2 linked regions of the Coturnix japonica genome follow. Each later gene encodes a partner of the first gene's protein in a complex. Links are inferred from orthologs where the notes say so. Each region holds a gene or a part of one and is shown on either strand. Other genes may lie near its edges.

What was found.
Region 2: the proteins of FBXL5 (region 1) and IREB2 are in contact, whole or in part, in a cryo-EM structure (PDB 6VCD), measured with the Homo sapiens proteins. The link is inferred for Coturnix japonica from reciprocal best matches to the Homo sapiens genes FBXL5 and IREB2. Residues at the interface, in NP_036293.1 of Homo sapiens: Asp656, Glu657, Tyr661, Cys662, Asp663, Asn664, Ile665, His669, Ala670, Asp671, Thr672, Ala673, Ser674, Gly675, Cys676, Gln677, Asn678, Leu679, Gln680, Cys687, Arg688, Ser689, Gly690, Glu691; in NP_004127.2 of Homo sapiens: Asp89, Phe90, Ser129, Asn217, Val220, Glu221, Arg224, Arg228, Ala758, Gly759, Ser760, Arg763, Asn764, Thr777, Pro778, Arg779, Asn782, Ser783, Tyr784, Gly785, Ala786, Arg788.

The regions. Positions count from the first base shown.
Region 1 is NC_029519.1:69,533,477-69,537,294, forward strand, and holds part of FBXL5 (F-box/LRR-repeat protein 5), read left to right. Parts: coding exon 1-585; intron 586-2,328; coding exon 2,329-2,477; intron 2,478-3,818.
Region 2 is NC_029525.1:2,879,309-2,883,126, reverse strand, and holds part of IREB2 (iron-responsive element-binding protein 2), read left to right. Parts: intron 1-947; coding exon 948-1,131; intron 1,132-1,619; coding exon 1,620-1,759; intron 1,760-2,257; coding exon 2,258-2,429; intron 2,430-3,160; coding exon 3,161-3,261; intron 3,262-3,809; coding exon 3,810-3,818. UniProt on the Homo sapiens protein: RNA-binding protein that binds to iron-responsive elements (IRES), which are stem-loop structures found in the 5'-UTR of ferritin, and delta aminolevulinic acid synthase mRNAs, and in the 3'-UTR of transferrin receptor mRNA.

The sequences.
Region 1 (3,818 bases):
AGGCTGCAGAAACAGGAATGCTAAGACTTCGTGGAAGAACAGGGAGATGACTCTGCAGTCCAACAAGAAGTATAATTGTTTGCACGAAATCAACAATGAAAACCTCATTGAGGGAACAGACAGTAAGCATCACTGGACTAAACCCGACGGCTCTGAAAACTTCAGTTCTGCGTATGTGTGGATGCTGAATGCAGATGATTTAGCTGATATTGAAGATGCTGCTGAGTGGAGACACAGAAATGTTGAAGGATTTTGTCTTGTGGAGCCAGCATCCCACATTAATTGTTCTGCATCTTGCTGCAGTAGAGACATTTATGGTTTAAGGACTAGAGGGTGGCAGCAGCACTGTGCTTCTACTGACTTCATTTACTGCGGTCACTCATTTTGCTGTGCTGGAACAGCACTAAGAACTATTCGAGCACTTCCAGAGTCCTCTGCACTGTGCAAAAAACCACCAAGGACTAAACAGTCAGAGGAAAAAGACTTGGCCTACTCTGGCAGTGACAAACCAGATGAAGAGACTGCACGAGTTCTTCAGTTTCTCAGTCTGTCTGGGTGTTACCAGATCACAGATCGTGCTCTCAGGTGAAAAGACGTTTCTGAGCTGTTTTGCTGCAGTGTGGTTTTTGTATTATCTGTGTGCTTGGGTTGCTCTGGGTTGAATCCACCTAGTCGCAGTTTAAGCATTTACATTGAGAACATCCAGTATATCTTAAGCAGTCCTTGCATCTCAAAGTATTGAGAATAGCAGATGTGAAAATTTTCTCCCAACTCTTCCTTTGAATGAAAGGATTAAAAAAGTTTCTTTTAGACAGCTCCTCTGAAATGAAGCACTTTGGTAAGTTTGCTTGCAGTAGATAAAAGCCTGACTTATTACTCAATGCCTTGTATTATGTCAGAAATGTGCAGCTACAGCTTCATAATGAAAATGAGACAAGACAGAAATGCTTGCAGTCACTTGCTCAGATGTGCTGTAGCTCCTGGGACTAATTAGAGCTGCTTGCAATTCAAGACTTCGTTCCTACTTGTACTGTACACTTTAGCCCGTGGAGAAACACTGTGAAGCACTGCAGGCACTGAATTGCCTCTCCATACACTTTGACACAGAATTTAGAGTACAGCTGTTCAGGTGTCTCCTAGCAGTTACTCAGGGACAGACAGCTGTGCTTTGCGGCTGAGCCTGATGTTGTCCAGGTGTAGGAGCAGACTGGTACTGCTGTCTGTGGTTTATTTGGCAATGGACAGGTAATGCTGCGTGTAGTTGACATGTTACCAGTGTTATTCTTCACTGAGTCCTATAGAATCAAAGGAAGACTTGATGCTTGAGTCATAGGGGGTGATTAGTTGTGGTCTCACATCAGTGCTTTTTGGTTACAGGGAAATGTTAAGAGTTGAGGGTATATTCTGCAGTAAGTGCTTCTTGCACTTCTGTAGTACTTTGGGTCCCAGAAGAAAAAATAATGAGACTCTAATGTACATTCATTTCATATAAACTGAACTTTATATTGATAGCTGGTTTTGTTAGTTGTTCTTTTTCCTGTCTGCTGACAAGGGAGGGTTTTGTATACTCATGCTTTTAGGACATAAAAGTGAAAAGGCCTTTGCTTGAACCTGGAACATGTTGATTGAAGCGTGAGTGGCTTTGTCTGTTCTCCCCTTTCTGACAGGTTTGCTGTCCTGTGAGCGCAGAGGAGCAGTCAGCCTAACACTGAGTGTGGGGTCAGATGCACTACAGCCTTGAGGCTCCTTTACCTGCAGTTGAACTCCTGCACTTGGAGTGAAAATAGAATTTGGCTTGAATAGTGTGTAGTGCTGTGATGGCAGAGAGAGGCTCAGCTGGTAAAGATTCATCTGACCCAAGGAAATACAAATTTGAGTTTCAAACTGACTAATAAAAACATAATACTCAAATTTTTTGGAAATTTTACACACCAAACTTGCAGTTCTGTTTTTGGGATGTGTTGAGAAATACACATCGCCATGGGAGTCTCACCAGTATCAGTGGTGTGTTGGAGAAGTGTGTCATGCTGGCTCCTAGAAATACTTGGTCATCCCCAGAATCATTAATGAAAAGTGGTTTCCCACAGAGCTGTATTTCTGTCAAAGGGAATTGTTAATTTCTGTAGAGATGGATTCATTTTTCAGCCCTGTCGTGTGGCTTCAAGGCTGATTAACCGTATGGGATGCCAGACTTGAAATTAAGTGGCTTATTAGAGGTGTGGTTTTCTTGCAGGATGTTAGTAAATACGTGACGTGGTGACATACAGGAGTACTTGTCAGCATAGTGCTGTGCCAGCTTTTAACACCCCTCTTTCTGTCTGTTCACAGGGCATTGACTTTGGGAGGAGGACTGCCACACTTGGAGCACCTCAATCTCTCGGGTTGTCTCACTGTAACTGGTGCGGGCCTGCAGGATTTAGTTTCTGCATGCCCTTCTCTAAATGATGAACACTTTTACTACTGTGACAACATTAACGGTAATGTCTTTTTATGAAGATGTGATCCTTGTCTGGGGAGTAATGTCTGGCTTAAGGATGTTTAAGAAACAAAGAAAAAAATCCCACCGCCAAAAAAACCCCAACACGCTGCAGCACTGCCAAAACCACACAAACTAAAAGCCTGCAAACTCTTTTCTTGGCTGCACAGCACTGAATTCAAGTGCTAGTTACAGAATCAGAACTGTTATGTCAGGTTGGCTTTTTGTATTTAAGTTTAATGCAGTTCTGTATTGCCTAGGGGGAAGGCATTCTTGGTCCATGTTCTCTTACTTTCTAAGCCTCTATTACCTATGCTAATCTGAAGTAAGTATATAACTGATACATGGTTGTCTTCTTCATCTCTTCCCTGTAAATGATGTTGAGTGCTTTCTTTATGGTGCTAAATCAAGAAAGAGCTGTCATTAGATTTGTAGCTTAGTGATTTTTTTGGGGGTGATGGAGAGAGGGCAGAGCTGGTTATGCAAACCTCACACGTTACAGTGGTTTGGGTGTAGAATACTATCATGTGTCCTTGTAGGAAATGTAACTTGGTCTTTCTAGCTTTGCTTGAATTACTTAGGGTTGAATGTTAGCTGGAGAAGGATCTGGAGAAATGCATAAAATATGTTTGTGGTGGAAGTCTTAGCGTTCACTGCAGCGCAATCCAGTCTTATGTCAGGTCCAGTAAGCATTCATAGCATTAGAGATGGGAACCACGGTGTGATTTTATTCCATGTGTGAACTTAAAACAGGTAAGTGCAACAGAATGGAAAGGAAGGATAATTGGGTTCACAGGGCTATAAGAACTGTGTGTAAAACAATATGGTATTTCCCTGATAGTTCATGGCAGTCAGCTCAGTTGGCATCTGTACTGAGCTGTAGCCACAGCAGCTATACAGGATGCCACAGCTTTGGTACTGTGAGTGAAACTGTACCGATGCTTGGGTATTCTGTCCATTGAAAGTCATGTGAGGTGATGTGCTTTACTGGACTGGATCCTTATGTTACAGGTCAGAGTATTAAATCATTTTTGCTTCCATAATTTTTGGATGACTTCATGGACTTTTGTGACACATTGATGCATTTCTGGTTTGTTACCTGGTTCTTTTCCTTCTTGACTTCTAAAATCTCTCCTTGCATTTCAATCTGGAAACTTTTATACCTTTTTAAAATCCTTCACTGACTCTTTCCTGCATCAAGTTGAACTTAATGTCTTATATGGAACCCTTTTCCTCCTTCATTTTATTCCTTTTTTCTTATAGTTTCCTATTTTTCCACTTGTCAGTAATCCCGGTTCTGATGCCCTGGTTTGTCTTTAGCTGTTTCTGTCTCCCTTGCTCT
Region 2 (3,818 bases), on another chromosome or scaffold:
TACATGGAGGGGAGAGGATGTTCAATTCTGATTGGAAAAAGTGGATACAGATTGGTTTGGTCTTGTCAGTGTGAATGTACGGGATAAAGTTAACACTTATTAAGCTGCAAGTGCAAGCTCTGTGCTATAGATCACAATTGGCTTTTTGGATAACAAGCTTGTTTATCCATACTCGTGTTGCAAATCTTACTGAAGCTAGAAATATTAAATGGAAGCTGATATTGAAGTATTGCTACTCTCAAAATAGGCAGCAGTGCCAGCAGATGTGTTTTGAATGCAAATCTTGTGGTGAGTATCAGCTTCCTTATAGCCAGGGATCTGCAGTGTTGGTGTTTGATCCTCATCCACTAATTTAATGTGGTTTAGGGATCCAATGAAATGATCCTAATCTATTCATGTAAGTAGACTAGGAAATTTTCAGAGAAGCTGCACATCAGCTTGTATGTGTGAAGGGGGAAATAACCAAGCTGGATTTTGTTTCAAGCCTTCATGGCAGTTTCTTTTGTAGCTATGTGGCATCCTGAGCTTGTATGTAGTGAGGCACTTGTATACATTGCCTCCTTAGTCACACACAGGTATGTAAAACCTAAACTGAAATCTGTGATAGATGTTAATGCTAATTCTGTTGTCTAAATATTAGTCTTGGCTGTGCTTGAAAATCAGTTGTGTGAGCTAGAAATTAAGAGCCTTGTATAGTCCTGCATTTGAGACTTAGGAACTTCTGATTCAGCCTTCAGCAGAATTGAGCGTATGGGCTTGTCAACCATTTAAGAATGCATGGGATCCAAGGAACTCATGTAACTGTTGGAATAATGAGCACAAGGCACATAAATAGCAATTACTATTGCATTGCATATCAGCTTTGTTGTTTTTGTTGTGTTCCAAAAAGAATTGAATAAATCCCTGAGAAAAATCTCTCTCTTTTCCTCTTTTTGGAAAAATAACAGTGGAGTTCGAAAGTTTTCAAGAATACTTCCATAATACCACCAGAGACTGGAATGGCACACCAGGTTAATTTGGAGTATCTATCAAGAGTTGTATTTGATGTGAAAGATTTCCTATATCCAGATAGCGTGGTTGGCACAGATTCTCATACAACCATGGTAAATGGCTTGGGTATCTTGGGCTGGGGTAAGTATGCTAACAGTAACTTGACAGCAGTTTGAAAGGCTTACTGAGGCATTACTGAGCAATACTTTCTTCCTACTTCCTAGAGTTGTTTCAGGCTCAGTTGTGAATTCTTCAGAATGTGTTTTTTTTGTCTTGACTAATGTTTCTTACCATCAAAAGCTGCTTGATGTAATTTAAAAATAGCAAAAAAGAAAACCCCAAACCTTTTGATATCCTGGTTGCTTTTTGTGCATGTAATGTAAAATTTGGAGTAAGATTTTCTTCATTGTGGAAAGCAAAACTTACATACAGAATGTCTTTCTTGTGAAGTGTGGTCAGACCACTTTGGCAGTAGTCTTGTTTTTTCATGTGCAAATATTTAATAGTAAACTCTTTCTTGCTACAGCCTATAAACCTATAGGAAGAGTTTTATTAGACTTGAGAACATAAAAATATTTAGTGTCTGTTTACTTAAGCTGATGAAAAACAAGGTAATATTCTCACTGCAGGTGTTGGGGGAATTGAAACAGAAGCTGTGATGCTGGGGATGCCTGTTACTTTCACTCTGCCTGAAGTGGTTGGGTGTGAACTGACGGGCACAGCCAGCCCACTGGCTACGTCCATAGACATCGTTCTAGGCATTACAAAGGTGAGTTCAGTGCCTGCTCAGACAAAGCAATCCATGGGTTTTGAGAAGTGAAATCCTGGCTATTTCTTGTCTTTTGACAGCATGTAGGCTTCTCTTCAAGCTCAAACTTCTGTGTACCCGTTTTTTATCTAAAGTGTTACAAGACAAAAAGCCCATCTGCTGGTGTAACTAAAACATGTACCTTCTGAAGCCAGGGCTTTGCCATCATGGCACAGAACTTCTTGTTCTAGTCATTTGAGAGCCAGTGTTAAAGCATTTAAGAGCTTTGGTTGCTTTAAAAATGTTCTTTCTGGTATGATGCTTTGGGAAGCATCCACCTGTTTTTGCCTTGGACATCTGAAGAACACAACTGCCAATAGAAGTGTGTCTTACGATGTCAACATCCAGCCTTGAATTTAGTACTCAGTACTTCATAAGTTGTGGGGTTTTTGTGCTGTTTGCAAGATGCATTGCTTCCATTGTTTCTTTGTATACCAAATGTTGTGTTCTTTTATACAGCATCTTAGGCAAGCTGAAGTTGCTGGAAAATTTGTGGAGTTCTTTGGGAGTGGAGTTTCCCAGCTGTCTGTGGCAGATCGAACCACAATAGCAAATATGTGTCCTGAATACGGTGCTATTCTGAGCTTTTTCCCTGTTGATAATGTGACGCTGAAGCACTTAAAGCATACAGGTAAAGATGAAATCCTAGGAGGACATTCACTGTGATAGTTTCATGTGTGGTAGTGCAAAATGAAACGTCCCTAAAAAGCCAAATCAGGATAATGGAGCAGTGAATCAAATCACAGCATGTTTCTGATTTTTTTTCACTGTGATTTCTTCCACTTGAAGACTTCTACTGACACCTTAAACTAAGGCAGAAGGATATGCATTCCTTGTCAGGCTAGAACTAACATAGAAGACCACAGGGTAATGAATAGATAAGAAGAAAGCTTACCTGAACTAGTAAGTCTTTTTGATGCTGAGATCTGACATATTTGAGCATTTTTAATAACAAACATGCATGGGCTGGTCAGCGCAAAGCAAACAAATCAGATTTCTTAACAGTGGCCAGTAATGCTGAATATTATCAGCTAAACGTGTGATCTGTCTTAAACAAGTAAATCTTAATATCAGAGAATCTTCATAAACTTAAGGGGCAAATCTGTAAGTTTAATTAGCTACAACTTCTAATGTTTAAAGAGCTTATTTTGTTCCTCAGTATGAAGAGAGAAAGTAAAACAGACAGAAAAAAACAGATGCCCCACCACCCTGTACTGTAATTTATGTATCGTTCCTGAGTAGTTCCTTTGGGAGTGGAATATGAAGTGGTGTGCCTTGGAAAAAAAAATACTTTGAATGTTCAGTTTTTGAATAGAAGTATTAATTTCTGAGAGTTATGCAACTTTGTTTAAATTTACTCAGGTTTCGATGAGGCCAAGCTTGAGGTTACGGAAGCATATCTTAAAGCTGTGAAGCTATTTAGAAATGATGAGAGTTCTTCCAGAGAACCTGAGTATTCCCAGGTATGCTTGAAATGACTTACTGCTGTATGTTTGGTTCTCATAACAAGTAACTGCTGTGGTTATTAGTTTTGTCTCCTGCTGTGATTTTTTGGTACTTCATTGAAGTTGCTTTTATTAACTCACAGTTCTAAGCAGAGCATGTTTTCAAGGCATGGTCAGGTGTGGGGGGAAGAGGAGAAGTAGGATAATGTTCATTTCAACTAATGGGAGAGGCATGAATTCAAGATCTGTACTTTATGCAAGTCTTAGGGATGATGGAAAAGGTAGGAGTAATGATAAGGCGCTTTGAATAAGAACCTTGTGAAGGTTTGGCTGGATGGGCTGCTTTTACAATGGAAGGCTGGATTCCATCTCAGAGGTGCCTCCTAACCTGTGCTTTCCTGTGACCAACAGTCTGGCACAATGAAACAGCCTGGAACTGGAGGCTGGAGGCTAGTTTTAATGTCACAAAACAGGTTCTGAGCATCTCTACAGGGTGCGTTAAATACAGTGCAAAACTGGGACTGATAATGTATGCTTTTCTCTTTTTTTATTTCTCTTTTTTTTAGGTAGTGCAA